Linked DNA regions of Solanum lycopersicum. The protein of the gene in region 1 binds, or shares a complex with, the protein of each later gene. Links are inferred from orthologs where the notes say so. Each region holds a gene or a part of one and is shown in the gene's direction. Other genes may lie near its edges. The genes, in order: NAD(P)H-quinone oxidoreductase subunit S, chloroplastic; photosynthetic NDH subunit of lumenal location 3, chloroplastic; ORR; photosynthetic NDH subunit of subcomplex B 1, chloroplastic; NAD(P)H-quinone oxidoreductase subunit O, chloroplastic; photosynthetic NDH subunit of lumenal location 1, chloroplastic; photosynthetic NDH subunit of subcomplex B 5, chloroplastic.

Evidence for each region.
Region 2: NAD(P)H-quinone oxidoreductase subunit S, chloroplastic (region 1) and photosynthetic NDH subunit of lumenal location 3, chloroplastic share a complex: the UniProt entries of both Arabidopsis thaliana proteins name them as parts of the chloroplast NDH complex. The link is inferred for Solanum lycopersicum from reciprocal best matches to the Arabidopsis thaliana genes NdhS and PnsL3.
Region 3: NAD(P)H-quinone oxidoreductase subunit S, chloroplastic (region 1) and ORR share a complex: the UniProt entries of both Arabidopsis thaliana proteins name them as parts of the chloroplast NDH complex. The link is inferred for Solanum lycopersicum from reciprocal best matches to the Arabidopsis thaliana genes NdhS and NdhM.
Region 4: NAD(P)H-quinone oxidoreductase subunit S, chloroplastic (region 1) and photosynthetic NDH subunit of subcomplex B 1, chloroplastic share a complex: the UniProt entries of both Arabidopsis thaliana proteins name them as parts of the chloroplast NDH complex. The link is inferred for Solanum lycopersicum from reciprocal best matches to the Arabidopsis thaliana genes NdhS and PnsB1.
Region 5: NAD(P)H-quinone oxidoreductase subunit S, chloroplastic (region 1) and NAD(P)H-quinone oxidoreductase subunit O, chloroplastic share a complex: the UniProt entries of both Arabidopsis thaliana proteins name them as parts of the chloroplast NDH complex. The link is inferred for Solanum lycopersicum from reciprocal best matches to the Arabidopsis thaliana genes NdhS and NdhO.
Region 6: NAD(P)H-quinone oxidoreductase subunit S, chloroplastic (region 1) and photosynthetic NDH subunit of lumenal location 1, chloroplastic share a complex: the UniProt entries of both Arabidopsis thaliana proteins name them as parts of the chloroplast NDH complex. The link is inferred for Solanum lycopersicum from reciprocal best matches to the Arabidopsis thaliana genes NdhS and PnsL1.
Region 7: NAD(P)H-quinone oxidoreductase subunit S, chloroplastic (region 1) and photosynthetic NDH subunit of subcomplex B 5, chloroplastic share a complex: the UniProt entries of both Arabidopsis thaliana proteins name them as parts of the chloroplast NDH complex. The link is inferred for Solanum lycopersicum from reciprocal best matches to the Arabidopsis thaliana genes NdhS and PnsB5.

What each region holds. Positions count from the first base shown.
Region 1 is NC_090807.1:67,427,312-67,430,494, reverse strand, and holds NAD(P)H-quinone oxidoreductase subunit S, chloroplastic, read left to right. Parts: upstream 1-1,653; coding exon 1,654-2,406; 3' UTR 2,407-2,530; downstream 2,531-3,183. UniProt on the Arabidopsis thaliana protein: NDH shuttles electrons from NAD(P)H:plastoquinone, via FMN and iron-sulfur (Fe-S) centers, to quinones in the photosynthetic chain and possibly in a chloroplast respiratory chain.
Region 2 is NC_090809.1:1,367,345-1,371,900, forward strand, and holds photosynthetic NDH subunit of lumenal location 3, chloroplastic, read left to right. Parts: upstream 1-1,600; 5' UTR 1,601-1,682; coding exon 1,683-1,947; intron 1,948-2,543; coding exon 2,544-2,830; intron 2,831-3,639; coding exon 3,640-3,738; 3' UTR 3,739-3,894; downstream 3,895-4,556. UniProt on the Arabidopsis thaliana protein: NDH shuttles electrons from NAD(P)H:plastoquinone, via FMN and iron-sulfur (Fe-S) centers, to quinones in the photosynthetic chain and possibly in a chloroplast respiratory chain.
Region 3 is NC_090803.1:56,432,070-56,435,471, reverse strand, and holds ORR (NAD(P)H-quinone oxidoreductase subunit M, chloroplastic), read left to right. Parts: upstream 1-1,559; 5' UTR 1,560-1,669; coding exon 1,670-2,122; intron 2,123-2,233; coding exon 2,234-2,416; 3' UTR 2,417-2,576; downstream 2,577-3,402. Other genes in the region: uncharacterized protein At1g21580, read left to right, coding at 413-886. UniProt on the Arabidopsis thaliana protein: NDH shuttles electrons from NAD(P)H:plastoquinone, via FMN and iron-sulfur (Fe-S) centers, to quinones in the photosynthetic chain and possibly in a chloroplast respiratory chain.
Region 4 is NC_090802.1:62,985,495-62,990,073, reverse strand, and holds photosynthetic NDH subunit of subcomplex B 1, chloroplastic, read left to right. Parts: upstream 1-1,575; 5' UTR 1,576-1,699; coding exon 1,700-2,284; intron 2,285-2,744; coding exon 2,745-2,935; intron 2,936-3,073; coding exon 3,074-3,331; intron 3,332-3,484; coding exon 3,485-3,590; intron 3,591-3,844; coding exon 3,845-3,930; intron 3,931-4,026; coding exon 4,027-4,192; 3' UTR 4,193-4,326; downstream 4,327-4,579. UniProt on the Arabidopsis thaliana protein: NDH shuttles electrons from NAD(P)H:plastoquinone, via FMN and iron-sulfur (Fe-S) centers, to quinones in the photosynthetic chain and possibly in a chloroplast respiratory chain.
Region 5 is NC_090810.1:1,415,238-1,419,008, reverse strand, and holds NAD(P)H-quinone oxidoreductase subunit O, chloroplastic, read left to right. Parts: upstream 1-1,488; 5' UTR 1,489-1,585; coding exon 1,586-1,814; intron 1,815-1,878; coding exon 1,879-1,955; coding exon of another isoform or gene 1,956-1,987; intron 1,988-2,189; coding exon 2,190-2,255; intron 2,256-2,359; coding exon 2,360-2,401; intron 2,402-2,511; coding exon 2,512-2,571; intron 2,572-2,938; coding exon 2,939-2,968; 3' UTR 2,969-3,214; downstream 3,215-3,771. Other genes in the region: uncharacterized protein, read right to left, coding at 3,655-3,771. UniProt on the Arabidopsis thaliana protein: NDH shuttles electrons from NAD(P)H:plastoquinone, via FMN and iron-sulfur (Fe-S) centers, to quinones in the photosynthetic chain and possibly in a chloroplast respiratory chain.
Region 6 is NC_090809.1:53,936,473-53,940,430, forward strand, and holds photosynthetic NDH subunit of lumenal location 1, chloroplastic, read left to right. Parts: upstream 1-1,703; 5' UTR 1,704-1,850; coding exon 1,851-1,977; intron 1,978-2,055; exon of another isoform or gene 2,056-2,069; coding exon 2,070-2,156; intron 2,157-2,224; coding exon 2,225-2,298; intron 2,299-2,378; coding exon 2,379-2,501; intron 2,502-2,620; coding exon 2,621-2,692; intron 2,693-2,778; coding exon 2,779-2,875; intron 2,876-2,948; coding exon 2,949-3,052; 3' UTR 3,053-3,258; downstream 3,259-3,958. UniProt on the Arabidopsis thaliana protein: NDH shuttles electrons from NAD(P)H:plastoquinone, via FMN and iron-sulfur (Fe-S) centers, to quinones in the photosynthetic chain and possibly in a chloroplast respiratory chain.
Region 7 is NC_090808.1:66,330,335-66,334,669, forward strand, and holds photosynthetic NDH subunit of subcomplex B 5, chloroplastic, read left to right. Parts: upstream 1-1,585; 5' UTR 1,586-1,678; coding exon 1,679-1,912; intron 1,913-2,250; coding exon 2,251-2,314; intron 2,315-2,594; coding exon 2,595-2,657; intron 2,658-3,153; coding exon 3,154-3,212; intron 3,213-3,318; coding exon 3,319-3,549; 3' UTR 3,550-3,790; downstream 3,791-4,335. UniProt on the Arabidopsis thaliana protein: NDH shuttles electrons from NAD(P)H:plastoquinone, via FMN and iron-sulfur (Fe-S) centers, to quinones in the photosynthetic chain and possibly in a chloroplast respiratory chain.

The sequences.
Region 1 (3,183 bases):
CTTGTGTTTGTTGTTGTTTTGAGTCAATTTCTACAAATACATTCTCGAAACATTCAATGTATGATATTGTTTATTCGCACAAGTAAATGTAAGATTTGAAGTTCACATTGAAATTGTTTATTCGCATAAGTAGATGTAAGATTTGAAGTCCATTAATTTTTACGATAATTTTAAATTAATAGTATATATTAATTATTGAATTTATTATCAAATATTTAATGAATCCTATAGAGACAAAAAAGAATTCTTTTCGTCCCCATTCTGGCTATTGATAGGAATAATTTACGCTCCAATTTATGCAAATTCAATGTGTACACTATATACACCTTTTATCAATACTTATTATCTCTAAATTGTGTTTAATAATGTATTAAAGAAAAATGGTATGAAATAGCAAAATATGTTATTCAAATTAAATAATATAGCTATGATTTATTTTGTTTGTAATTTGTCACAAACATTCCATTCTTTTGTAATCTGATTCGCTATACAATTAGTCATTTCCGATATATAATTAGACATTTTATATATTTCGATATAGAATGTATAAAATGTGTTTGTGTTTGTATGAAACGAGAGAAAAGATTATATACAAATACATACATACATACATACATACATACACACACATATATATATATATATATTCGTTCTATATACTTATGATTATATAAATCTAGATCTTATTATACAAATTACAATTTATAAATGAATTTATACAAAACTGAACAATCTGAATAAAATTGGATGTATCTAGCGAATTATACAAATCAAAAACTCCATAGCAAACATAAAATTTATTATGGAACGCAATTATGCAAACTATATTTACAACATACAAATATGATTTTTATGTTTGCAATTTGTGAAAAATTACGTCTTTAAAAAAACAACTTTAGAGGCTATTTAGATGAACTTAAAAAGTAACTTTTAAATCAAAAATAAAATGTCAAACTTAAATGATTTATAAGTTAAAAAATAAAAGGCAGAGGAAGACCTACTTTTGATTTTAAACTTATTTTAAGTCATTTTAAAGTTATTTTTAACTTTGTCAAACACTTTCTGACTTATTTTAAGCCATTTTTTACTTACTCTAAGTTATTTTTTATATTTATCGAACACTTCCAAAAATAAAAATAACTGACTTTTAAATCAATTCAAACGCCCTCTTATTTAATCAACTATATCTTCTACAAGACCCCTTTCACATGTGTGGTCCTGACTTTTAGAAATTCCTTTTGATAACAAATAGCAACATAGCGCGAATCTAATACCTCTATATACTCTGATCATCAAGTTAAATCATATGATCATTTTTTAAAAAAATCTTAAATTATTAAAGAAAAACATAATATATCTCGTGTAATTTCATAAATGAATATAAAAATTATAATTTACTTTTAACGCAATTCCTCACGTGTGGTCCTGATTCTTTTTGAAAGGATGGTGTAAAACATGAGTGCAAGTTTAATCTTTTTCCAAGGAAGATAACATCATTCATGTGTTTCATTTGTCAATAGAAGATATCAAAACAAAAACAGATTGGTGGTCAGAATTTGAAAGGACAAATTACAGTTTCCCATTTCTACTTCTCATCTCATCCTCTACCATCATCTTTCCCAAATCCAAAGTTCTTGAAAAAAAATCAAAACCATGGCTTCTGCTTCTTCCTTTCAACTCTCAAGCCTTCAAATTCAAACCCCACCTCTTAAAAAATCAAACTTTCTTGGTCAATCTGTCAATCTCAACCTCAGTAGTAGTGTTCATACCAAATCAGCTATGAAATCATCTTCAAACTCAGTTACACCAATAGCAAAATTCAATCTTTATGAGATTCTTGGAGGTAGAGGTCTGTGTAATGGAGAAGAGGGTATAGAGAAAGAGCTAAAAAAGTCGATTTCCGAAGAACAAAAGGCAGTAGGATCAGCAGCAGCAGCAGCTAGTGATGATGATAATCAAGAAAACAAGGAGACTGGGGAGATACCGGAGGACGGATTTGAGAAAGAAATGATGGGGTTTACTGGCGGATTTCCGGGAGGTGAGAAGGGTCTAATGAAATTTATAGAGAAAAATCCACCACCACCACCACCCAAGAAAACAGAATCAAGTATGGTTTCTGGTTTTAATCAAAGTCTTGTGAAGAAACCAAAGCCACCTGAATTGCCACTTTTGTTACCTGGGATGATTGCTATTGTCAAGAATTCTAATAATCCATATTATATGTATTGTGGGATTGTGCAGAGGATTACTGATGGTAAGGCTGCTGTGCTTTTTGAAGGTGGGAACTGGGATAGGTTGATATCTTTCAGGCTCGAAGAACTCGAACGTAGAGAGAAAGGACCGCCAATGGTGAATCTTAAGTCTGTGATACTTGAGAAGATGGTAGAAAAGAGCTCTGAAGCTTGAATTGCTTCAGTTTTTGAGTAGATTGTTTGTTCTTTTGTCTTTTGGGTTGTTGTACATACAAGCTGTAAGTTTTGTAATGGCAATGGCATGTAATAAGAAATGCAGAAAAACTTTTGTGCAGGAAGAGTTCTGTCCCAAATGAGAAGTTCAACTCTTAGCAGTGATGTTCGAAAGAACTCTTAACAAAAACAACGTAAAAAATAAGAATCAGGTAATTCAAACCACTTGCAAAACATATAGTCAAATATTTAATATGATTGCACAAGATCTAGTTTTGTTTAAGTAATGAATCCTAGCATGTTCTTCTGATCAATTCATAGATCATTAGATACCATCAGTAATGAGGATCTGAAATATCACACGTTTTATCGAGCAAAGAGAGAGTCTAGCAGAACAACAACATACAGTATTTAACAGTGAGTGATAAAACAATTCTTACTTTTCACAAGCATGAGGTACCTCTGACACCACATATGGTGGATCTTAGACTCCATCCAATTGGACAACAGGTCGATATCGATGTAGATAAGTTCAATAATGATAGCTAGCCTGAGAGAGAGTATACAATGGTGCAAACTGCAAGATTTTGACAGATTCTCAAACAGATGGACCAAAATTTTATAATGCATAGTCTGCAAATGTTTACATTCAGTATCAAGGTAGTAAGCCAATCCACGCATTAGCCTCCAATGTCTAATGATCATTAATTAAAGATGTCATTTGCAGAATACACTTATAATTCCAGAAAACTGTGTCAGTTATACCATACATGCAAAA
Region 2 (4,556 bases), on another chromosome or scaffold:
GGTACAGTGTATACAGACTTTGATTGTTTTCAATAGACCCTCGGCTCAAGGAAAACATATCAATCAAATAATATAGAAAGCATGTTGGGAAAAAAAGGAGGAACATCAACTTCAAAAAAGAAAAAAACTAGTGCATAACTATATTCATAACCTTGTGTATTTGTTAAAATCACTACATATGTACAAAAATCAAACTCATGACCCAATTACAAGTACTCGAGGCCATGCTTTCGTATCCAAAACCCATGAAGTTCAAATCCTTGCTCCACCTCCCGTTCAAAGATAGTTTAAACGTCAATTTTTCCGAAAATTGACCATCAAAATGATTATAATGTACTTAAGTTTCTTTCACTGCAGAGCTCAATCATTCACAAAATCCCCACCCTAATTCAATGTCTTTGCTACAAAGCTTAATCATTTGATAATATTTCTATACTAATCCAACAAGTTTACACAATTCACTCAATTTAACATGATTTCTACCTAATTTAAACTACTACTGTGAAACATTAACTCTTTAAATTAGTCAATTTTATATCTGAAATCGAATTTAAACATTTCTGTATATGAATACAGAGCAATGGAAGAAGGAATATATATAGAAAGTGAGATAAGTTAGAACTTACAGCGGTGTTATCGCCGGAAAGGATTTGACCGGAGTTGGCTCGTCGGAGAAGAACTTCGCCGGAGGAACTTGCCGGAGAGTGTGTAATTTGAACTTCGGTCCCAAAATGCGTGAAAATTTTGGGCTCGCATGGGTCCGTTTTAGAAGAAGTTTGGGCCTGTAAGTGAAGCCCATTGGGCTTATAGTTCATTATATGCAATACGATTACTCGAACGGGGCGGAATTGATCAATCTACATTTTCAATTCCGATTTTTCTTTCCACGAGCGTATCTACAGAATAAAGAGAGCAAATAAATGGACTTTGGTCATATTTACTCGACGTGCGGTCATTTCTTCCTTGAACATTCCGTTACGGAAATTGAATCAAGAAGAAATATGACTTTATGAGATACTAATAATTATTAGAACATGTTTTAATTGACTTATTTTAGGTGTATTTAAACAGTTTCATAGCATTCATGTAAAATATTAAGTATTTTTAAACACTTGATGCTACGACAAAATAACAAAAATAAGTCAAAACTCATATATTAAACACTTGATGCTACGACAAAATAACAAAAATAAGTCAAAACTCATATATTAATCTTTACTTATGTCACTTTGCTTATATAAGACATAAACAAGTATAGTTAAATAAGTTCTTAGTTCATTGACCATATAAAAAAAATACAAGTGTAACAAATAGGAGAATCGAGTTATAGATACAAAGAGATTGAAAATGAGTCAAGTAAAATAGATAAATTATCCAGCTCACTCGTATTTGATTCTTTCTTCAAAATAATTAGGTTGAAAGTCAGTGACAGAGCTAAGATTTTAAGTAACAAATTCGAAAAATAAAAATATCATAGGAATTTATAATTTTGGGAAAAACATAAAAAGGAAAAAAAGAAAAGAAAAGAGGGGAGAATTACAATCTTACCCTCAATTGAGATATCCTTCTAGTGGCCAATAGTCATCAAGATTTTCATCAAATGGATAATAATATTATAACTTTTTTTGAAAGTGCAAAAAATAGGCTATCATTTTTGTTCATAGTTTCAACACCAAAAAATTATGGCAAACACAACAAATTTAAACATTATATTTGAAGCTCTTCCCCTCATTCCCAAGATTGAAAAAATTCAGAAAAAAGCAAAAACAATAAGCCAAAAAAATAAAGAAATTCAAGAAAATTCACCACCAAAAATTACAAGAAGATTAGCATTAAGCATTGGTTCAATTGCTTTATTTGCAAATTCAAGAATTGATATTTCACTTGCTGAAGATAATAATGGATTTTTTATTACTGGTCCACTACAAGACCCTTCAATATCCACCAGTAAGTTTTTATTTTCTATATTTTTTTTTATCACGTCGCGTTTAACAGCCACTAACACTTGCATTTATAGATATTCCCAATTCATCTAATGCGAAATGTTTTATGTACCAGACTACATTAACAAAGTTCATGTATAGCACGAATATGAAATGGGTGAACCCCACATGTCCAAATTATTCGAGTAAAAAAATTTGAATTCGATGTAAAATTACCTTTATACACTACGAAAAAGCTGTGAATACATGGGGATTTTCCTTGGAATTAGTATAAAAATTCACCATAAACTTATTTTCCTATAAATTTTCATACTAATTCTCAGAAAAATCCCCATCATAGCTCATAGATAAGTGTGAAATTAGCCGAATCAGAATATTTCGCTGAAGCAGAAATGATAGGATCGTAAGAAGAAAAAGTCTATACGCCTATCCGTATTATGTAATTTACAGTTTTCTTGTAGTGATGTCGGACCCCATTTGGTGTCAAAGGGTAAAAAATTGAGCTTTTTTCGCGCATTTAAGTTTAAGATATCAAGAATCGAGTCGATCGTCCATAATTTTAATATGTTAGATAAAAGTTTTTGTAATATTTGATTGTAGATATTATAAACAAGGAGACAGGTACAAGATCATTTCTTAAGAAAGGAATGTACATTGCTAATATTGGAACAAAAGGGAGAATTCATAGGTTGAAAAGATATGCATTTGATTTATTGGCATTAGGGGATTTGATTGGAACAGATTCTTGGAATTATGTGAGGAAATATTTGAGGATTAAATCTACATTTATGTATTATGATTTTGATGAAGTTATCACAGCTGCACAAGTGAATGATAAGCAACCTCTCACTGATCTTGCTAATCGATTATTTGATAACGTTGAGAAGGTACATTTGATTTTATTTGTCTGATATTATATGTTGCTCGTATCCTTCAAAAATATTGTCCCAAATGTGTTCAAAAAATATATATAGATTTGAAGAGTCTGAGCAATATATGATTGATATTAGTTTGGTTAAACCCTACAAAAATTTTGTCGTATCAGTGTCACATCCTTGAAAAATGCATGTTTTCTTGAGGATGCGGTACACAATGTGATGTCAATAGTGTTTTTGAAGAGTCTGAGCAATATATATACACATATATAGGCTTGATGTTATGTTAATTGGACCATCTAAAAATGTTGTTGTACCTGTTATGTCGGATCCATTGCATAGCTTTTGGAGGATCCTCGATTGACGGACATATATAGAAGCACTTTTGAAGAATCCGAGCGACATAGGTTTGATAACTATGTTGGTCGAATCCTCCAAAAATACTGTTGTGCCCATGTGGAATCCTCCAAAATCTTACACACAAAAACTGTGACAATATTATTGAAGAGTCTGAGCAACATATGTCTGATACAATATTGATCGGACCCTCCAAAAATATTGTTGTGCTCGTATCAGATCCTCCAAAAATCTTAGCACATGCTCTGGCAATATTATTGAAGTCCGAGCAATATAAGTCTGGTGTTGTGTTCCTCTGACACTTCAAAAATATTGTCGGATCCTTACAAAAATGTATAGATTTTGTAGAATACGACACACATTATGATTGGTGACCGTCAATATTTTTGAAAAGTCTGAACAACGTAATTATAAATAGCAAAGTTTTTGATCATGTGTTTGCTCCAATATTTTTTTTTATGCAGCTTGAAGATGCTGTGAAGAAAAAGAACCTGCCTCAAACACAATCATGTTATCAAGAAACAACTACTATTCTCCAACAAGTCATGGACAGAATGGCATAAACAAAACATATGTTTTAATTATATTCTGTTAATTAGTCATTTTGACTACAAGAAGACAAAATGTTCCTTCGTAAATTTTGGAATTGTCAATAACACTTTGATGGAGATTCAATTTGATTTCCACATTTTTATAATAGAGACAACTCGGTGCATGAAGCATCTCGAGTCCATACATGACCTATGGAACGATGGAAGGATTACAATCCAAGACTTATTTCAGGTTCGAACATGTAACTAATAGGTCAAACAAAGATAACTATAACTTTTTAGCAGCATTCAAACATAATGAAATATTACCAAACAAAGATAACTATACCGTACCATCGTAGCAAAATTTTTATACATGACCCGTGGAACGGGGGAAGGGCCATAATCCAAGACTTATTTCAGGTTCGAACATGTGACTTATAGATCACACAAAGATAATTATAATGTTTTAGCAAAATTCAAACATAATGAAATATTATCAAATAAAGATAACTATACCGTTTTAGCAAAATTCAAATATGATGAAATATTACCAAACAAAGATAAATATACCGTTTTAACAAAATTCAAATATAATGAAATATTATCGAAAAAAATTAAAATGGAGATGCGGGGTATCGATCCCCGTACCTCTCGCATGCTAAGCGAGCGCTCTACCATCTGAGCTACATCCCCTTCATGTTTCAAATAAGCAAGTAAAATTTATTTAACTTAAATATTTTGAGATCTTAGTTATTATAAAAGGTGTATCGAGGTTAAATATTAGCTATTATGAACTTGTATTTAATTTTGGAAAATGTATAAGTATCACTTTAGACTATGATCGAAAT
Region 3 (3,402 bases), on another chromosome or scaffold:
GATCGGCAAAGAAGGTCTTCTGAAGTTAGTTTATCACCCAGTTTTATGTTTGGTTAGTTTATCACACAGTTTTATGTTTGGTTGATTCCTGGTTCCTGGACAAGCTTGTCCCTATCCCAAACTTGTTATAACTGATGAGGCTAGTCTCCACACTTCCCCATGAATGAAGTAGTGGGGACCCTTACCTCTTCTTGTTTGCCATTTTTTGTTTTTGGAATGACTTCCTTGATATAGCTATATTTTCAACCGGTGATTTTGCCAAGTATTTTTACCTATTATGTCACCTCTTTCTCTGAATGCAACTATTTCAGTATTATTTTAATATGTTCTTTACAATAGATGTAGATCATCACAAACACACAACACTCTAATCTTGAAACTTGTGAAATGGGTCATATTTCTAAACATGCAGTGTCAGAAGAAACACACCTATGTCTGCCCCGTTTTTGAAGCAACTGGCAACTGTCCCAAAGGTTCAAACTGCAAGCTTCACCATCCGAAGAACAGAAGGAAGGGAGCGAAAAGGAAAGCTTTGAGCGAGTTAAAGAATGGTCGAGGTCGTTACTTTGGCTCTCCGCACATTCATATTTCTGAGTGCATAACAGCTGGATCAGAGAAGCCTTCTGTCAAGGGGAATAATGACATATTCCTTGAAGGGAAGTTTGTCGATTTTATTAGCCTAGATGGTAGTGACGAAGAGGAACAGACTATTGATCAGAGAAGCGAGGAAAAGCCACTTTGCGAGAGTGGTCCAGCAGAGATGCAACTGGATGATCTCGATGAGCTTATTAAGCCCGTGCGTCTGATAAATAGGAATAGGTCTGTAGGTTCATCTCCCTATATAGATAGCCCAAGTGATATGACCACAAGCTATGTATCAGAGTAGCCTCACCATTGTAAATGAGGTTGTGTAATTAGGTTTATGTAGTGTTCTGCTAGTGCAGAGCAATTTTTTTTCTTTTTATTGTTAGGCTTTTAGTTAATTACTTAGGTATAGGTCTTAGGATTAGGCATATTTTTTGTTTCGCAAAATCTGTTGTGTGAGATAGAACAAGAAAACTGTTGTTATAGTGAGAGAATTAAAGGAAATGAAAATCTTATCCCCTATGTACAAGTCTTTATTGGAAGCTGTTTGACTTTTGTTCTTTAACAATTTTCAAGTCAATCTGAACTCTCTTATTGAGTCTTTATCACAGGTGATAATGAACCTGTAGATTCAATCAGCTGGTGTTATGTTTATTTTACTTTTGACAGGTAAGCATTCTTTTTTTGTAGTGATGAATACACGGATAAAAAAGATTGTTTTTAATAGATCCACCACCATACGAACTTCTGAACTTAAATTTTTTGGTTTTGTCTATATAAGTGAAACGCCCTGCATACTTATCTTTCATGGCTCGGATTCACTAATTAACCAAACCTTTAAACCTGGTTTAACAGGGATAAAAACGAAAGTAATTTAAGTACCTCAAAGTGAGTAATTTGTAATTAACCTTTTATTAAGCACAGCCACAGAACAAAAAAAATATAAGATAATAAAAAGAAGCCATATGTAAGCAAACATTTCCTATCCACACAAAAAGGAGGATATATTAATATCCCAATACCAACATTCAAGAAAAGGCCATAAAAATCACACATAACAAAACACTAGGAGAAAGGGGGAAACATGGCAGCAACTTCAACATACATGGCTTCAACCCATTTCAGCATGTTAAGTTGGAGCACAAAGGGAAAGAATAAACAACTCAAAAGGAGAAACTTCTTCTCAGTTTCAGCACAGCAAGCAGAAGTTGAAGAGTTAAAACTAAAAAAAGAGGAAGAAAAGAAAGAAGAAGAAAAACAAGAAGAGGGGGCAATGAAGAAGCCAAGGCCAGTAGAACCACAAATAAATGTGCAGAGCAAGAACATGACCAGAGAACATGGAGGACAATGGCTCAGTAGTGCTACTAGACATGTTCGAATATATGCAGCTTATATTGATCCCGAAACCTTTGCTTTCGATCAAACACAAATGGATAAACTCACACTCCTTCTTGACCCTACTGATGAATTTGTGTGGACTGATGATACTTGTACCAAAGTCTATTCTTACTTCCAAGAACTTGTTGATCATTATGAGGTAATGAAAACTTCTCTTCATCAATACAAGCTTAATCATGCAATCACTCTTGTACCAAATGGATTAGAAATAGAAATGCTAACTCCAATAACTTTTTATGATCTGGACCAGGGAGCTCCATTGACGGAGTACACGCTTCGCCTGATAGGTTCAGACATAGAGCACTACATAAGAAAACTTCTCTATAATGGAGAAATCCAATACAACATGAATGCAAGAGTTCTTAACTTCAGTATGGGGAAACCAAGAGTTGGGTTCAATTACAATGGACAAATGGAAGATGTAAACCAGTAAATTCAGGTAACAATGTTGACTATATTGAAACAATGAGTAGCAAAAAATGCAGTTGTAACAATGTATAAGAAACTTTCACCTTCTCTGTCTGTTTTGAGAACTTTTCCCAAATGGATTATACACAATACAAATGTTATCTACCTAATCATTGGTGGCAAAAGGGTATTTTATACTGTGGTTTTCATATTCCTAATCATCTAAGCATTGTATCAATACCCCCAATCAAAATTGCAATAGCTTCAAATTTGTTTGAGATTTCCTATATCTACACCACTCCATATATTTAAGCTTACCTCATCTATATTCAACCTACTTTATTATAAAATTATTCGTTTTTTTCCACAAAAATTTTAAAATAATATGTAAAACTTACTAGACTTTAAAACTAACACACTATATTATCTTACATACAAGATTATGTAAGAACAACTATTGATAATGTAAAAAAAAATGAAAATTATTACATCTTATAATTTAATCTTAATAACATAAGTATAAATTAATGATTGTAAAAATATATACTAGAATCTGTAACATAAACAATGGTGGCAGTGAGTCACTAACCGGAGCAATGTACACAAATATTTAATTGTGAAAAAGAAGAAGAAGAGAGACAGAATTTTCGTTCTTTTAAAAGGAGAGAAAATCCCTCTATTTATAGACAAACAAAGAGTAGCGTGAGAAATGTTTATTGTGCCTTATCAGAAAAGTTACAACTATTTAGAAAAGTTGCAACTCATCGGATAGGTCACGACATTTTATAAAAGTCACAACTTTTCATAAAAGTCGTAACTCTTCATTAAAGTCGTAATTTTTTTCATAAAAGTCGCATTTCTTCATTAAGGTCACAACTTTTCATAAAAGCCGCAATTCATCATAAAAATCACAACTCTTCATTGAAGTCGTAACTTTAAATAAAAGTCACAACTTATCATAAAAGTCGCAACTCATCATTGAAGTCGCTACTTTCATAAAAGTCACATTTT
Region 4 (4,579 bases), on another chromosome or scaffold:
AGAATCTAATTATAGAGCTTAATTATTGTTCATCTATTACTGTGCAAATTGATTATGGAATATAAATCCTCTAGATTGAAGATAGCTTTTCAATTTGTGATGGGTACTTGATTATGGAGTGGAATCTACATCTATTTATTTTTAAGCAAAATTTAGAAATTTAAAGTTTCATTTATTATTTTTTAGTACGTTTGATTTTATCAATTGTTTTCTAGATTATTATTATTTTAGATTAATAAATGAATTTTCAAGTACAATTTTTGTTTCATGAACATCTTCACATATTTTGATAAAGATCATAAAAAGGAAAGGAAAAGAAAAAGTGTAGCCTGTTTTATAAAAGAGGTTACCTTATAAGTCAAAATATTAGTGACATATCAAAGCTAGTTTAGTGAATAAAACAAAGCCTAAGAATTTACTTTTTTTTTCTCTTTTATGATCTCATTATCTCTTTTTCTATATATAATAATATTTTGTTTTTTCCTTTTGATCTCATTAATTGACTCTGTTTATAATCTTTACTTTTTTGACTTAATTGTTACACAATTTTGTGAAGTTCCTTTCCTTTTTCATGCATCTTTTTTTCTTCTTGATTGCATATTAAGCAATCGTTTTTAGGATAACTGTACTTGATTCTCCCTATGATGGAACAACAATATACATAATTTGTTATTTGCTAGCACTTTGTATTTTAATTAACACAAGTAGTATAACTCACGATTCTGACAACATAGATAGGATTTCTCCGTCTCAGACAGTAATGGAGCTAAAATTTTATCTAAGGGGTGTCAAAATCTAAAAAAATAAAATTATGTAAAAGCTAAGGAATATCAATATGTAATATATATATATATATATATATATATATTAAACCTAACTCAATTCAAAAAGCTAATTCAGGGCGATGTTTTTGAAAACGTTTTGGGGCGAGTTTCAGGGAGGGCCATATCGAAAATGCTCCAGGGCGTAAATGAAAGAAGTAAATTCATAAGGTGTAAGTCTTGAGCATAAAAAACGTAAGTTCTGGGCGTAAAACGTATATAGTGACGTTTTAATTTATTATTTAAAACTTTTTTTACTTTAAATTATATTTTTACTATTGGTGTAATAATATTTTTCAAATAGTAATTATAATATATTTTTCTTCATTATTGATTATTAATATTTATTGCAAATAAGAATTATAATCATTGAAAGATTTATTTTTATTTATTTTATTAGTAATAAAATTATAATATTAAATATACATGAGACTAAGCCTAGTAGACCCATGGGGCTTACGCCCCGTGTTCAGGGATTTACTCCTCGCCCTATACGATATAAATCACCTCACTTTTTAAAATATTGATTCAGAATACGAAAGAAATTCTAGTAAAAATTATTTTCTCTTTAAAATCAAATTTATGCAATTTAAATTAGTTAGATTATCAATATGGCTACCATACACTCGATTGAAAACAAAAACAAAAAATACTTTTTCATTCGTCATAATTTATATGATATTATTTAATTTAATATAAAATACAAATGATAGACATAAATTGAGACAAAAAATCGCTAATGACGAGGCAGGAACATAGTGACAACAATGGGGACCTACTTATCTCACTACCTTCACACATTGAAATCCAACGTCACCTTCTGCTATAGTTTTTAGCTATCCCCAAAAAAAGTTGCAGAATTTTATGATAACACTCAAATGGCTGCCTCTACTACTCTACTATCTAACTCCATTTCTCCTTTCTTTGCTAATCCACCTAATTTTCCTGTAACCCATGTCACAAATGTACCTTTCTTGAACCACAATCCATCTTTTCCCGCCAGAAAATCAGGGAATTTTTGCCTCAATGCCAAGAAAAAAAATCCATGGCTTGACCCTTTTGACTATGGTGATGATCCTGAAATGGAATATGGTTCACTTTTTTCTGAAGGGAAACAAGATGAAGATCCAAGGCCACCTGATAATCCTGATAACCCATATGGATTTCTCAAATTCCCAATGGGATACTCTGTTGAGATTGCTTCGTTGGGTTTGAAAATTAGAGGTGATGTTCGGAGATGTTGTTGTGTTATTGATGGTGGGGTTTATGAGAATTTGCTGTTCTTTCCAGTAATTCAGATGATTAAGGATAGGTACCCTGGTGTTCAAGTGGATATACTTGCAACAGCCAGGGGAAAACAGACATTTGAGATGAATAAAAATGTGAGGTGGGCTAATGCCTATGATCTGGATGATGATTTTCCTGAACCAGCTGAGTATACGGATATGCTTGGAATTCTTAAGGTTTCATGCCGTTCCATTAACATTAACATCGATTCATAATTATTTAAATTCTACGTTGCTTGGACTCTTCAAAAATGTTGATTTTAAAGTGCATTACTTTTGGAAGTATCCGACACACATTAATCTACGAGCAACATAGGTTTAAGCAAGTTGTTTCATTTGAAGTATGATTCTTGTCGTGCCTTGATGTATTAGCACCTAAAATTAGAGAAAGTAACAAACATTATATGGAAACTTAGTTAAATACGAAGATTTAACTATGGTTATCTTATGAGTTTGCAGATAATTCAAAAGTTGAGCAGACTACGTTTGGAAAAAGAATCGCTTAGATTAGCTTCAAGATGCTGTTCGTCTTGTTTAGTCAGATAGAGATAAAAGAATTTGCTTCCTGCATTATGAATAGAGAGTTATAGTCATTTTTTGGGCTAAGTTATTTGCTTTAATGCATGGTTTGTTGCAGAGTAGGTACTATGATATGATCTTGTCAACCAAACTGGCAGGGATTGGACATGCAGTATTTTTGTTTATGTCGACTGCTCGTGACAGAGTTAGCTACATTTACCCAAATGTGAATTCTGCAGGAGCAGGATTGTTTCTGTCAGAAACTTTTACACCAGAAAGCATGAACCTCTCCGAGGGCGGATATCATATGTAAGTAGATGTTCCAACTGATAACTTGATCTTTTTGACTACTGAATATTCATTTCAAAATAGGGAGTTTGAAAAGTGCAACAGTTGTACTTCGTCAAAGTTTGTATAAACATGTTTACATACACTTTTTTGAAATAGGTACCGTCAGATGGTTGATTGGTTGGGCAGACCAGCTCGTAAAGTACCTCGACAACCTTTACCCCCACTTAAAGTTTCAATCTCAAGAAAGGTTAGGGAGGTTGTAGAGGCAAAATATAAGAATGTTGGTGCACAGAAAGGCAAATATATTGTGATTCATGGGATTAAATCAGATTCAAAAGCTTCTATGCAGTCAAGGGGTGATATTGATAGCTTGCTCCCTATTGAGATTTGGGCTGAGATAGCAGAGGAGATAAGGTATAATGTCAGTATTTTATTCTCTGTCGGAAAAAGGGCCGACTCGACTACATGGTCATTTTTAGTTCTCGAATTAGCTGATTAGCCTTTTTTCATCAAATGCAAGAAAATTTGTGAGCTATACTAATGGTTTGTAAACTATCATTTGATCAGGGGAGTCAAGCCAGTTTTTGTCATTCCACACGAAAAAGAAAGAGAAAATGTGGAAGATGCAGTTGGTTACGATGCTAGTATAGTGTTCATAACCACCCCTGGACAGGTTTGTTTTCTCAACCACTTTCACAATATCAATGACCGATGATCAACCAGTGTTTAGTTGAACAACCATAAAAGAAGAAATTGGTTGGAGTCACAGATATAATGGCAACAATTTACAGTCATATTCAAGGAGGGTATAATCAAATGAAAGTAGTTTGCTTCTGTTGCATGTTTAGTGGCAGCTTTAACTATAGTCTATATACCGCGGGATGAGCACTAGAAAACTAACAGTCCCTGCATATTTCTCTGCCTTAGCTTGCTGCTCTTGTTGATGACTCTGCTGGAGTGATAGCTACAAATACAGCTGCGATACAACTTGCTCACGCACGTGGAAAACCAAGGTAATGTCATCTACTACAAGCTGTAGACGCGGAAATTTTTTGCACCTTCTGCTGTCTTTGTGGGGAGGTTGATATATCTTGGTTTTGTCTGTACAGTATTGGGCTATTCTGCTCTGAGGATAAGGCCAGAAGTTTTGTTCCCAATGCAGAAGCAAAGAAATGTGCAACTATTTCATCAAATACTGGAAAATTGGTTGATATTGATGTTGAAGCTGTGAAGAGTGCTGTTCAAATTTTCACCATGCCCCTAGCAATCTTCTAAATATTATACATCCTCCAGTTCTCTTACATATAGTAATTAAGTATTCCTGTAATTGTTACTAGTTCCATTTTCTTCTCAATTGTAATTAATAGAAGCGGAAATATATATATTCGTTCTTTTTTCTCAACAGAAAAGGAATATGGAGATATGTTATTTATCAATGTGACACTTTAGGACATTCTGATATCTATAAAGTTTTGCAAGATTGTATAAATATAAAGAAATATGATAGTTTTCACAATTTGCGATTTTCATGTTTCTAAGAAAAACACAAACTTAAAAAAATCTAAATGACATATCTAAAAGGAATTTCTAACTTCAAAATCAATCTGATTATGAATCATGATTTTGTATTATATATGCAAACAATAGTAAAAAGACTCAGCA
Region 5 (3,771 bases), on another chromosome or scaffold:
TTCTTCTCGCGAAGAAAAATTGTGAATTTTCAAGTTCAAACGAGCCCCAAAGAAGGCAAAGGCAAATTTTACCAATTTTTATGTGTTATATTTTTCATCAGAAATTTCCAAACAATGGCTGAAATTACTCATGGAAGTCCGTTAAGACCTTAAAATGGAATCAATTTGTCCTGCATGGAAAAATTGTGCATTTTCAAGTTTAAACGAACCCTAAAATAGATAAAGACATATCTTATCGATTTTTGTGTGCATAGCCCATGAATTTTTTTAAATCCAAAAATTTCCAAACAATATGGCCAAAATTTTTCATGGCGTCCGTAAAGAGCTAAGGAATGAAACGAGTTCATCCCGCGGGGAAAAATGATGTATTTTATAATTCAAACGAGCCCCTAAGAAGGCAAAGGTAGTTTTTATCGATTTTAGTGTGTTATAGCCCATAATATTTTTTATCCATAAATCCTAAAACAAAATGACCGCATATTTAATAGACGACCATTAAGACCTTAAAATGGAACCACTTCGTCCTGCGGGGAAAAAAGACACATTTTCAAGTTTAAACAAATTCCAAAGCAGACAAAGACAAATTTTATCAAATTTCTTGCTCTGGGGTTCAGTTGAACTTGAAAATGCACGATTTTTCCCTGCGGGACGAACTGGTTCAATTTATATGGTTTTAACGGATGTCAAAAGAATTTGGCCATTTTTTTATATTCCCGAATCAAAAAGAAAATCATGTGATATAACACATAAAAATTGGTAAAATATGTCTTTGCCTGCTTTGGGCACGTTTGAACTTAAAAATGCATCATTTTTCTCCACGAGACGAGCTAGTTTTATTTCTAAGTTTTTAAAGGACGTCCATGAAAAAATTCGACCATTTTGTTTTGAATTTTTGGGTAAAAATAATTTATGGGTTATGTCATACGAAAATCGATAAAATCTGTTTTTTACCTACTTGTAAACAAAAATTGAAAAAAATGAGGGTTTACCTGCTCTGGATCGTTTGACCTTCAAAATGGGGTGTTTTGATCGTGGTGACTAACTGACTCCATTGATAAGATCTTAACAATCATCCATGTTAATTCAGAAAATATGACGTCAGAGTTCTTATTCACCAAAAATTTCATAGACTATAGCACAGAACACTCGACAAAATTGGGGGTTTACCTACTCTAAACTCGTTTAACCTTGAAAATGGGTCCTTTTTAGCTGTAGTGGCCAATATGCCCCATAGATAAGGTTTTAACTATGTTAATTTTCGGCAAATAACGTTAAAATTCTGGATCACTAAAAAGATGGTTTGACCTTTAAAATGGTCGTTTTGACCGTGACAACCAATTGGCTCCATAGATAAAAGTTCTAACGGACGTCCACAGTAATTTTCAACAAAAATGACATCGAAATTCAGTATTCAAACTCGAAATCCTTAACCGAGAATAGAGTAATCCCATTTATTAGCAGACTAATTTTTGTTATTCAAATCTGGCCGTTGAAGAAGGGGGAAAAAGGGCATGCCCTTATCTACTTATATTGGCCACAACTAAACTAGTTATATCTCCAAAAAAAAAAAAAAAAAACTATAGAGATGGCTTTCTCTGCTGCATTTTCACACACCTCCTTCATATATTCATCATCTTTTTCACAAACAAGAAAAAATAGGATTAATTATAGCCCTTTTGTTATTAAAGCAGAAAATAGTTCATCTGAACCACAAGAAAATAATGAGAAGCCAAAATCTCAAGCAGCAGCAGCAACAACAACTTCTTCTAGTACAACAGCCACCGCAACAAAGCCTAAAAAACCGGTTTATTCTAGTGAGTAGTACTATTTCATGAAAATGTCTCAAATTTCACTAATTTTTTGTTTATAGAAGTTTAGCTTTTTTGTTTTGGTTGGCAGTGAAGAAAGGTCAGATAGTCAGGGTGGAAAAGGAGAAGTATCTGAATAGCATCAATGTGAGTTTTGTTTTTTTTTGCTACTTCACGAGGTAATGATAAGGTTTATGTACACTCTACCTTCTCAGACCTATTTAGTGGGACTTCTTTAATAAAGATATATATACTATAATTTTTTACCAATCAGCATTGTATCCTCTACATGCTTATGAATGATGATAATAATCTGAATTGGAAGTTGTGGACACCCTTGCACTGGAATTTGACTGTATATTTTTGTATAAATTTCTTCAGTATTTGTCTGTTGATCATCCACCTTATTACAAAGGTCTGGACTACATATATGAAGACCGTGGTGAGGTACCATTTTCTTATTTCTCTATAGATCATGTCAAAAGGGATAACAAAATACAATTTGGAACAACATGTTATTTATAAAATAAACTAATCATATATCTGTTTAGGTATTGGATATTCGTATATTCGAGACAGGAGAATATGCACTTGTAAGTATATTTTTTTCGAAATTCAATTTATTATATCAAAACACACCTCGAAACATAAATTTCACTGAATATATAAAGAGATCAAAGTTGAGAGTTTACCTATGCTGCAGATTGGATGGATCGGAATACCAACTGCACCAGCTTGGCTTCCAACAGAGATGCTAATTAAGGTAATTAGCCTTTTGAAATCATTCAAAATACTAAAGCAGCAATTTGCATCATTTCATGAGTACCTTTTATGGTACACTATTAAAAAAACCTCCTTGCACTTCAAATGAGAATCTCTGGTGAAAATTATTTTGGACAAACTCATAGCAATTAACTGCACGGAGGTTTGGGGAATGGACCGGTGGGTTGCTTATATGAACTTAAGCAATCCTCCCAAGTATCCGGAATGGACTGGTGGTTTGCTTATATGAACTTAAGCAATCCTCCCAAGTATCGTATCTTTATTTGATGATACAGTTTCCACCTTGCTAAAAAGCAAGTGGTCTGTTGCGTAATCACACATTCCCTAACCAATAACAAATTTTGCAGTCTGATAAGCTGGATTACGAGAGAATATAGTGGCGAGTCCACAGTTACAGACCAGTACATGCCAGACGAGTAAATCAAAGTGGAGCATCAGATTGACCGCTGCTCATCAGAGATGAAGAGAGATGAGATGGACACACCTCCAGAATTTACTTATTGCTAAATATATTATTATTCCTTAAAGATCACTCAATCAGCTTCTCAGTTGACACTAAATAATCGTTAAATTGATTCTTAAGAAGCTTAATATAACAATCCTGGACTATTCAGTAGGTAAAAGACAGCTTCCAGTAACAATCAAGAGACGTTCTAGATCAACTGAAATATAAATAAACAGCAACATACCCAATGTAATCCCACAAGTGGGGTCTGGGAAGGATAGAACTGAAATATGATATCAGTTAAACACAAAATACCTTCCATATTGAATAGAATGGAGTCGGTTTATAAATGAATATCGAAATGTACGTCTCAATGTACCATTAATTTTTTCATAAAATTATAGTGTACACACAATATACAGTAGGCAGGTAACTGGAAAGTCTCAGTGTACAGCAGCCTGTAAAAAGGGAAGGTGAAGAACAGGTGGTATGGAGTATAAGTTATCTGTATTTTTTTCTGTAAACAATGCTGTACTTGGTATCAATATCTGAAAGCGATGAGGGTGGAGAATGAAATGAAGAAATTAATGAAGAAATGATGCCAGGAAAAATCAGAACTTACAGCCTTCTCCTAGCACGCTTAGTAGCATTCATAAGCTCTGTCAACGAAGCAAGGGGTCGGGGCACTGGTACATGCATAGACCGGTATAATTTCCGCAAACTTGGGTTATAACT
Region 6 (3,958 bases), on another chromosome or scaffold:
TAGAAACCAAATTATGGTAAAATTTTCTCAGAAACTACATGAATAAATATGTCTGAATGAGAATAGACTCGCGTCATGAGAATTTGAATTCTTTGCATTCTATTCAAGTAAAAGCCTAAAAATTGCGTTGAAATCACAAGGTCTATATCACCAAGTCAAGCTTGTAGACGCAATCCTTGCTCATTGAATTGGTGGTCATTTCGTAGTTGATGACCCAAATGAAATTACCACACCATGAAGAAATGTCATGCGATAAGTCTCATCAGCTTGAAACATTTCAAGTTGAAAATGAGTTGATAAACAACTGAAATTCAAATGACCTCTTACAAATTAGAAAATATTGTAATAAAGACTATGGTAAATGTTGACCTTAACATATCGACATGGTCATCTCTCATGAAGCTTCAAATGTCTCGTGAAAGATCAACTACGATAAAAAAAACATTTGCTTCACAAATACTTCAAGGCTTGTCTTTACAAGTTCGACAAATCAAGCACCTCAACAAGCCTCAAAGTAGGGGCATTTGTAAACACTGAAGTTTTATTGATAAATCCATATTACATTTGGATTAAATCTTAAATCACCATATGTTGACCAAGTCAAATTACTGGTTGATAAAGTCTAATTAATATCTAAGCCAAAATTGTATGACTTAAATCAAGTCCAAATCATTTGGATCATTCCATTAAGTTGACAAGATGAGCCCAACTCATGTTCTTCAGGCCCAGGGATCAAAATTGCTCAGACCAAAATACCCTAAAGCCCTAACTCAAGCCTATATAAAGAGGTATTCTTCTGACCAAAAGGACAAAAAAAAATACATATACACAGGAATACATAATTGCTTTTCAGCATATAAAGAAGTCTTCGCTCCAAGGGTTGAGCCGCAAGTATTCCGCCAAATCAATAACATCTGTGAAGAGAAGAATCAGGGGATTAAATATCTTTTTGAGATATTTTATAAAGATTGTAACCTTAGTATTAATTCAAATACAAATATTATTGTTTGCTTGCTATTTTTCCTTTCCTGTATATTGTATTTCAGGATTGAAACTTTAGACGCATACACTGAGATTTGGATCATCCAAGGTACATTAACATGGCGTACTCCACCCCTGGTACCCTTTGATCATTCTTCAATTATATTTGGCGTTGCATTTACACAGTTGATGAATACCTCCACGCTAGGATGTAAATTGATCATTGATGCATCGCCAGTTGGATTTCCTTTCAAATAGCTTGTGCTATACAGTGATTGAAAGAACCTGTGCTTGGTTTTTCCACATCAACATGGGTGCATTTGATATCACATTTCATATGGTCGAGTTGTTAAAGTATCATTATCTTAAATTCTTCGAAGTCAATTGTTAAGGTTTTTAGCATTGATCAACCCATTAATTTTTAAGTTATAAGTTTACATTTACTATCTATTGCAATTTTGATGAATTTTTACACATAAATTTATATTTCGCATTAAAAGTACTGAGTTCAGATAAACTCGGTATCAATACATTAGATCCGCCTCATCCATCAAGGATTCAAGTTTGTGCTGTTGTTACATACAGATATTTATGACATGGTAAACTTGTGAAAAATTTGCAAGAACAATTAGTAAAAATTATCAATGTGGATATAGTCAAATTTTAGCCCCACATATGAAGCACAGCTCATTTAGTTGTAGTTGAAAGAGACATAAAAGCCCATTTGGACCTTGGCAGGAAAGGTCATCCTCACATTTAATTTGCATCTTATCCTATTGAGCAAGAAAAAATGATGGAAAAAAAAGTGATTGTATTAGGAGAAAAAATAAACATGTTAAGCAAAAATCTAGTGATTTTTGTCCACAAAAATGGCAGCTACTTCACTCTCATTGAATCTTGGGCTTCCATCACCAGCAGCCAACAATTTGAATAGGCATGGCTTACACAACATTATTACATGTTCGGCATCAGAAAACACGTCCCCTAATCAACAGAGTAAGAAAATTTCATATCGATCAATTATGAAGTCATGTTTGCATTTACGCCATTTTCTCCGTGGTAAAATTCTACTAGTATCTCTGTTTCAGGATGCTTGATGAGAAGGTCATATCTATTAGGAGCAGGGGCTCTTTCGTTGGGTTTATTATTACCCGCGACTCCCCTTCTAGCTCAAGGTACTCTGTTACTATAATTTTTATTCTCTAAACTTTTTACTTTTTATAATTAAATGACGTGTATGCAGGAGTACCGGAGAACTATGAAATCTTTGTTGACAAACGAGATGGTTATTCGTATTACTATCCATCAGATTGGAGGGTATGTTGCTTCTTTTTTTTTTAAGAAATGAATTTTTAGAAATTAGTAAACTCTCATTTTGACTTTGGATGTATGTACAGGAATTCGATTTCAGAGGTCATGATTCTGCATTTAAAGATAGGTATCTACAACTGCAAAATGTAAGACTTAGTTTTATACCAACTGATAAAACAGATATCCATGATTTGGGGCCAATGCAAGAGGTAAATCGCGGTACTATTCATCTATGTAGCCGTTTTTTATTAAGCTATCAAGGAGGAGAAAAATATAAAAAAGACATGTATTTTCTTCGTCATACCAACTTATTTCTACTTTCCTAAAGGTTGTGCCCGATCTGGTAAAACATGTTTACTCTGCACCGAATCAGGTGGCAAATATAATGGAAATGAAGGAGGTATGATCCTTTCTTATTCTCTTGATTGTACAATATACGTAGCTCTTTTTCAATTAGTCACCATATTTTTGTTCAAAATTATGTAGAGAACTACGGATGGGAAAAACTATTTCACCTTTGAATATGTATTGACATCTCCAAATTTTTCGCGGGCAGCATTTGCTACTATAGCAATTGCAAATGGTAAGTGATCTGGTTTGTTTCCTTTAACTGTACATTACATTTTTCTGCATTCGTATTAAGACATTTCGTACAGGGAGATACTACACATTAATCGTGGGAGCGAATGAAAGGCGATGGAGAAAATTCCGCAACAAACTTAAAGTGGTGGCTGATTCATTTCAGGTGTTGGACATTTAGAATTGTTCTAAGAGCTGCAATGATAGAGTCTTGTTCCATGAAACAGGATTTGCAATTTGTTTATTGAATTACAGTACAAAGAATGTTTCTGGCTATCCCATAAGTAACTGAAATCCCCTTGTAGTTGAAGCGGTGAAGTGTTAACGACAAATTTTAAAGTGATGGAAAATAAAGCACAAATAAAGTACGGCATGATACATATCTAATCTTGGTTTCAAATTTTAACTTTGACCTCCAACGTTCATAGTAAACAAACAAACACTTCAATTATCTAACCCTTTAATAAATAAACACGCGAGTCGTACCTGGCAAACATGTAATGTGCATGTATTTTGTGCGAGTTAGGAGTAGTAATTTTTGAGGTCCACAATGGTAAAAAAATGCTGAAATAACAACTCCACCATTAATGAATCCCTTTTATATATTTTTTTATATTTCCAAATCAAAATTCATTTAAATTTTTTTTAAATTCTAAAATGGACGCATAAAATATTTAATTAGTTGGCAGTCATTGAGTGGCTCACTAATATACGTGGGAGCATTTGCATTTCACTCTCTTTGTCTCCAAAAATCGTGTGTTTATTTATTTAATGGTATGATAGTTTAAGTGTCTATTTGTGCACTATTAAAGTTGGAGGTCAAAGTCAAAATTTGAAGTCAAGTTTAGGGTCCAATATATGTATTATGCCTATAAAATATGATGAAACACAGTTTTTCATTGGTATTTGCGAGTATAAGTTCTCTTGATTTTTCTCTCTGAATTAAATCTGTTATTCGAGGGTGGTTAGTAACATATTTCTCGAATATATGATAATTTGGACCTCTTTGAGATATATTTGATTGTAAGGCAATATTTGATGTCTTGATCTCTTTGTGAATATTCTAGGAGTTTATGACATATTTGAC
Region 7 (4,335 bases), on another chromosome or scaffold:
TACAAAATTTGTATATACTTAATTTGTTTGTATATTCGCAAGTAAAATATACAAACTATGACCTCCATTTGTATATACTTACCATGTTTGTATATTCGCAAGAGAAATATACAAACGAACAAGCGAAATATATAAACGCAACCTCCATAGCAAATGAAATTATAATTATGAAGCGCAATTATTGAAACTATAGCTACACAGTCTTATTATATCTATGATCTTTGATTCAAACTTGAAATGAATTTACATGGTCATATTCGTTTAATTTGTATTAATATCATGGTAGATGGATTAGATAGATGAAAATATTATTGTCGTTCTTTTGTATTGAATTTTGGATATACATAAAAGAAAGATACAGTATACGTACAGTTGCTTAATAATTAAAGGAAAAATTATATAAAATATCAAATTATTAATTCAAATTAATGTTATAATCATACTTTGATTTAATTGTAACTCGTAGCAAACAATTGTCATTCACCTCTCTCCCCGACGAATTTCGCTTGCCACTCTCCCAGGTCTTGCTCGTCACTCTCCCTCGTCTCACTCACTTTATACAAAAGGCAAATGAATAAATTGTGTTTGTATTTGTATAAAGCGGGAGAAAATTATATGTACACATACATATAATTTCGTCATATACACTTATAATTATACAAATACAGATTTCCTCTACAAGTTCTCTTTTGTCATTCTCTCTTTCTCGCTTTATATAAACACAAATTACAATGTATACTTTGTGTTATATAACTCGAGAGAGAGAGCGATTTGATATACAAATGTTTTATTTCGATACATTGTATACAAATTCAAATTTTATGCAGATATACAAACACATAAAATTGAATTTAGAGGTTGTCAACGATTTATACAAACGAGAGGCTGCCAATGATTTAATGTACCATAGCAAGTATAAAATTTGGTATGGGCCGCAATTATACAAACTATAGTTATAGTATACAAATATGATTTTTTATGTTTGCTAAACCTAAACTTACTTATAATTAAATAGTTTCCTATTGAAATAATTATTTCTGTATGAATGTCGTCGATATTTTCCTCCTTTTTTCTCCCTTATTTTTGTCATAAGTTGGAAAAAAATTTAAAATTTTGAAATATTGGTGAAAATATTTTTTTAAAATAGTTTTAAAATAATTTTTATAATGGTAAGCAAAAAAAAAATCTGGTTTATGGCTAAGAGAGGCTAATTTATTTTGTTTAAAGCATTTTGAATAATCTCATTTAAATAGACATTTACGTTCTCCAATTCTGGATATGTACAATTACAAGCAGACATATAAATATGTATATAATTAAACAAGTAGACACATCCTATGTGACATCGTACGTGACAATTTGCATCCTATATAATGTCCTACGTGCATTATATCACGTAGTACGTCTGTTTATGTTTGTTCAATGTTATATAAATTTAAGTGTTGATTTATCTACAATCAAAGTTGAAAGACATAGATGTCAGATGAAATCAAGTTAAAAGGGGTCGGAAATTGTGGTAACACAATAAGAGACTAAATAGATATTAAAAAAAAAATATAAAACCATAATATATAATAGCCTTATCCACGTATAGCCTTAACCATTCAAAATATATGGATAATAAAGTTAGAAAACATAGAGTAAACAAGCAAGAACAGAGCAACACTACTCAACAACAATGGAGAATTCTTTAACACTTTCACTACTCTCCACAATTCCAGTTCCCAATTCAGTATTCTCAACAAAATGGAGTGTTCTTTTTCGAGGAAATCCATGTTCGATTTCCTCGAAAATTGGTACAAAATGTGGTGGATTTAGATCATCAACAAGATTGTATGCAGGACTAACAGAGATAGAACCAGATATCAACGAAGATCCTGTTGATCGATGGAGAACTAATGGCATTGACATTGTAATGTTTCTTTTCTTTTCTTCGTTGTTTTTAAATAATTGTAGTGTTTGAGTAAGTTTAATATCTTTCATCAACATAGATATCGAATAATTTTGATATAATACAAAATGTCCTTTTAACTTGGCTTTTTTTAACTGACAAATGTATCTATTTTTTCAATTTTATATAAGTCTCTATTTGTGTACATCGAAAATAAGAGGATATAGATGTAACTGAAACAAAATTGAAGGGCATATTTATATATTTATGTAATAATTTTTTTTTTATTGAAATTTTGACGGATTTATTTTAAGGCAGACGCATGTTAACTAATTTTATTTTATTTTAATTTGTTGCAGGAAGATTATGTTTTTGGAAAATACGATGATCATCATACGTACTTTGAAAGTGAAGATAAAAAAGGTACATAACAATATGTGTGTGTTTTTTTCGATTTAATTTGTAATTTGAATTGAAAAATATCTAAATTTGTCCAATGTATTATTATATGAATTCGATCAAGTTAGTCTTCGTTCGACTTTTCGTTTAATAAATCGTTTCATATTTGTCCAACGTGAAATTGGTGAACTCCACGTGTTCAAATTCTTCGAAAAACACAATATTTGAGTAGCTATTTTTACAAAAATAGGTAAATGTATTTATACTTAAACTATACTTAATTCTATATCACTTGCATTTTCAGTATCATTTTGGGGATCCATAGCAGAAGATTATGCTGCTATTGCACCCCCAACAGGATTTCAAGGTATGTAACAAATTACCATAATAATATGATCATTAACTTAGTCATTTACTTTTCGCACTTTGACTAATTTCACGAAATACTTTCCATCAGCAACAAGTATCAGCTAACTCTATCCATCTACCAACACCGATTGTGGTTCACTGGTGGGAGTGTTTCACTCTTAACCACAGGTCTCGGGTTTGAGTATTGGATATGATCTATTGAGAAAATCATGTTGGGAGCGTCACCCTCAAATATAGGACCTGCAATGTGCGATTCGAATTTAGTCGTAATTCCAATGTAAGCTCCGGACATCGGGTGGAAAAAAAAAACTCTATTCATCCACAGTGGATAAGACAAATGAAAGGATCACCTAGAATTTTTCTTCTCTCGCTGAGAATTGAACGTGATGAGACCTCGTGACTCTTAACCAGTTCATTGACCACTAGGGCACACCCTTGAGTGCTTCTTTAGTTATTTACTTAAAATAACTTATTTTTCTGGTGTTCGACAATAGGTATCATTTCATGGCTGTTTCCTCCAGCAATAGTTGCAGGAATGTACTTCAATGTTCCTGTAAGTTAATGACTAAATCTCTACTATATTACACATTTTTCGAGGCTCGAAAACACCCGTTTCCAGCAACTAAAAGTCTTGTATTTTCACTTCTTTGACAATGCAGGGGGAGTATTTGTACATTGGAGCAGCTGTGTTTACAATTGTGTTCTGTATCATTGAGATGGACAAACCAAGTGAAGCACACAATTTCGAGCCTCAAATATATAACATGGAGAGAGGTGCGCGAGATAAGTTAATATCGGATTATAACACAATGGACATTTGGGAATTCAACGAAAAATATGGTGATTTATGGGATTTTACTGTTAAGAAGGACGATATCATGAAACGATAGAAATAAAAAAGAACAACGAATTCATATGTTCTGAATATATCATTAAGGTATCTAAATGAATCGCGTAATGATCATTGGATTTCATCGATTACTCGAAGATGCATATGATCTGGTGTTGTTCCATGGTTGTACTATATGTTTCTTAACTACATTGAGATGAAAAAAAAACTCTAATGAACTCCCTAGCTGAAGAATTACACTGTATATATAAGGTCAAAGTTATATATTTCTTATTAGTATATGTCAAATCCCTTTATCAATTCTTTATATTTTGAATTTCCTTAATAAAAATTCTGATTGCGCTACTGCGATGAGAGTTGTATAAATCAAAGTACATAGGATGTTTAAAGTTACATTAAGAAGGAACTTAAGAGTTGAAAAGTTTGATTGAATGATGAGTGATAACTAACATGATTTGGCTTTTTTTTCTAATATTTTTTATGAATGTTCTGATATTGCTTGTTGTATGTGTAAATATACCTACTGAATTAGCTCTATGTACTACTTCCGTTCCAATTTAAGCGACACTTTTTGAATTTCGAGATTCAAACAAGTCTATCTTTGATCGTAAATTTTTATATATATCTTTTAATTATTTTGAATTGTCAATTATTACGACTTATATTACTTTTAACGTAGTTTACAAATATATAAATTTAAATTTTGAAAAATATTAAAGATTGTACGTGCAAATTTTCGATCATACTTAAACTATTTGACTCTGAAAAATGAAAAATATCACATAAACTGAAATAGAGAAAGTAATAGTTAATTATTTCTCAAAAG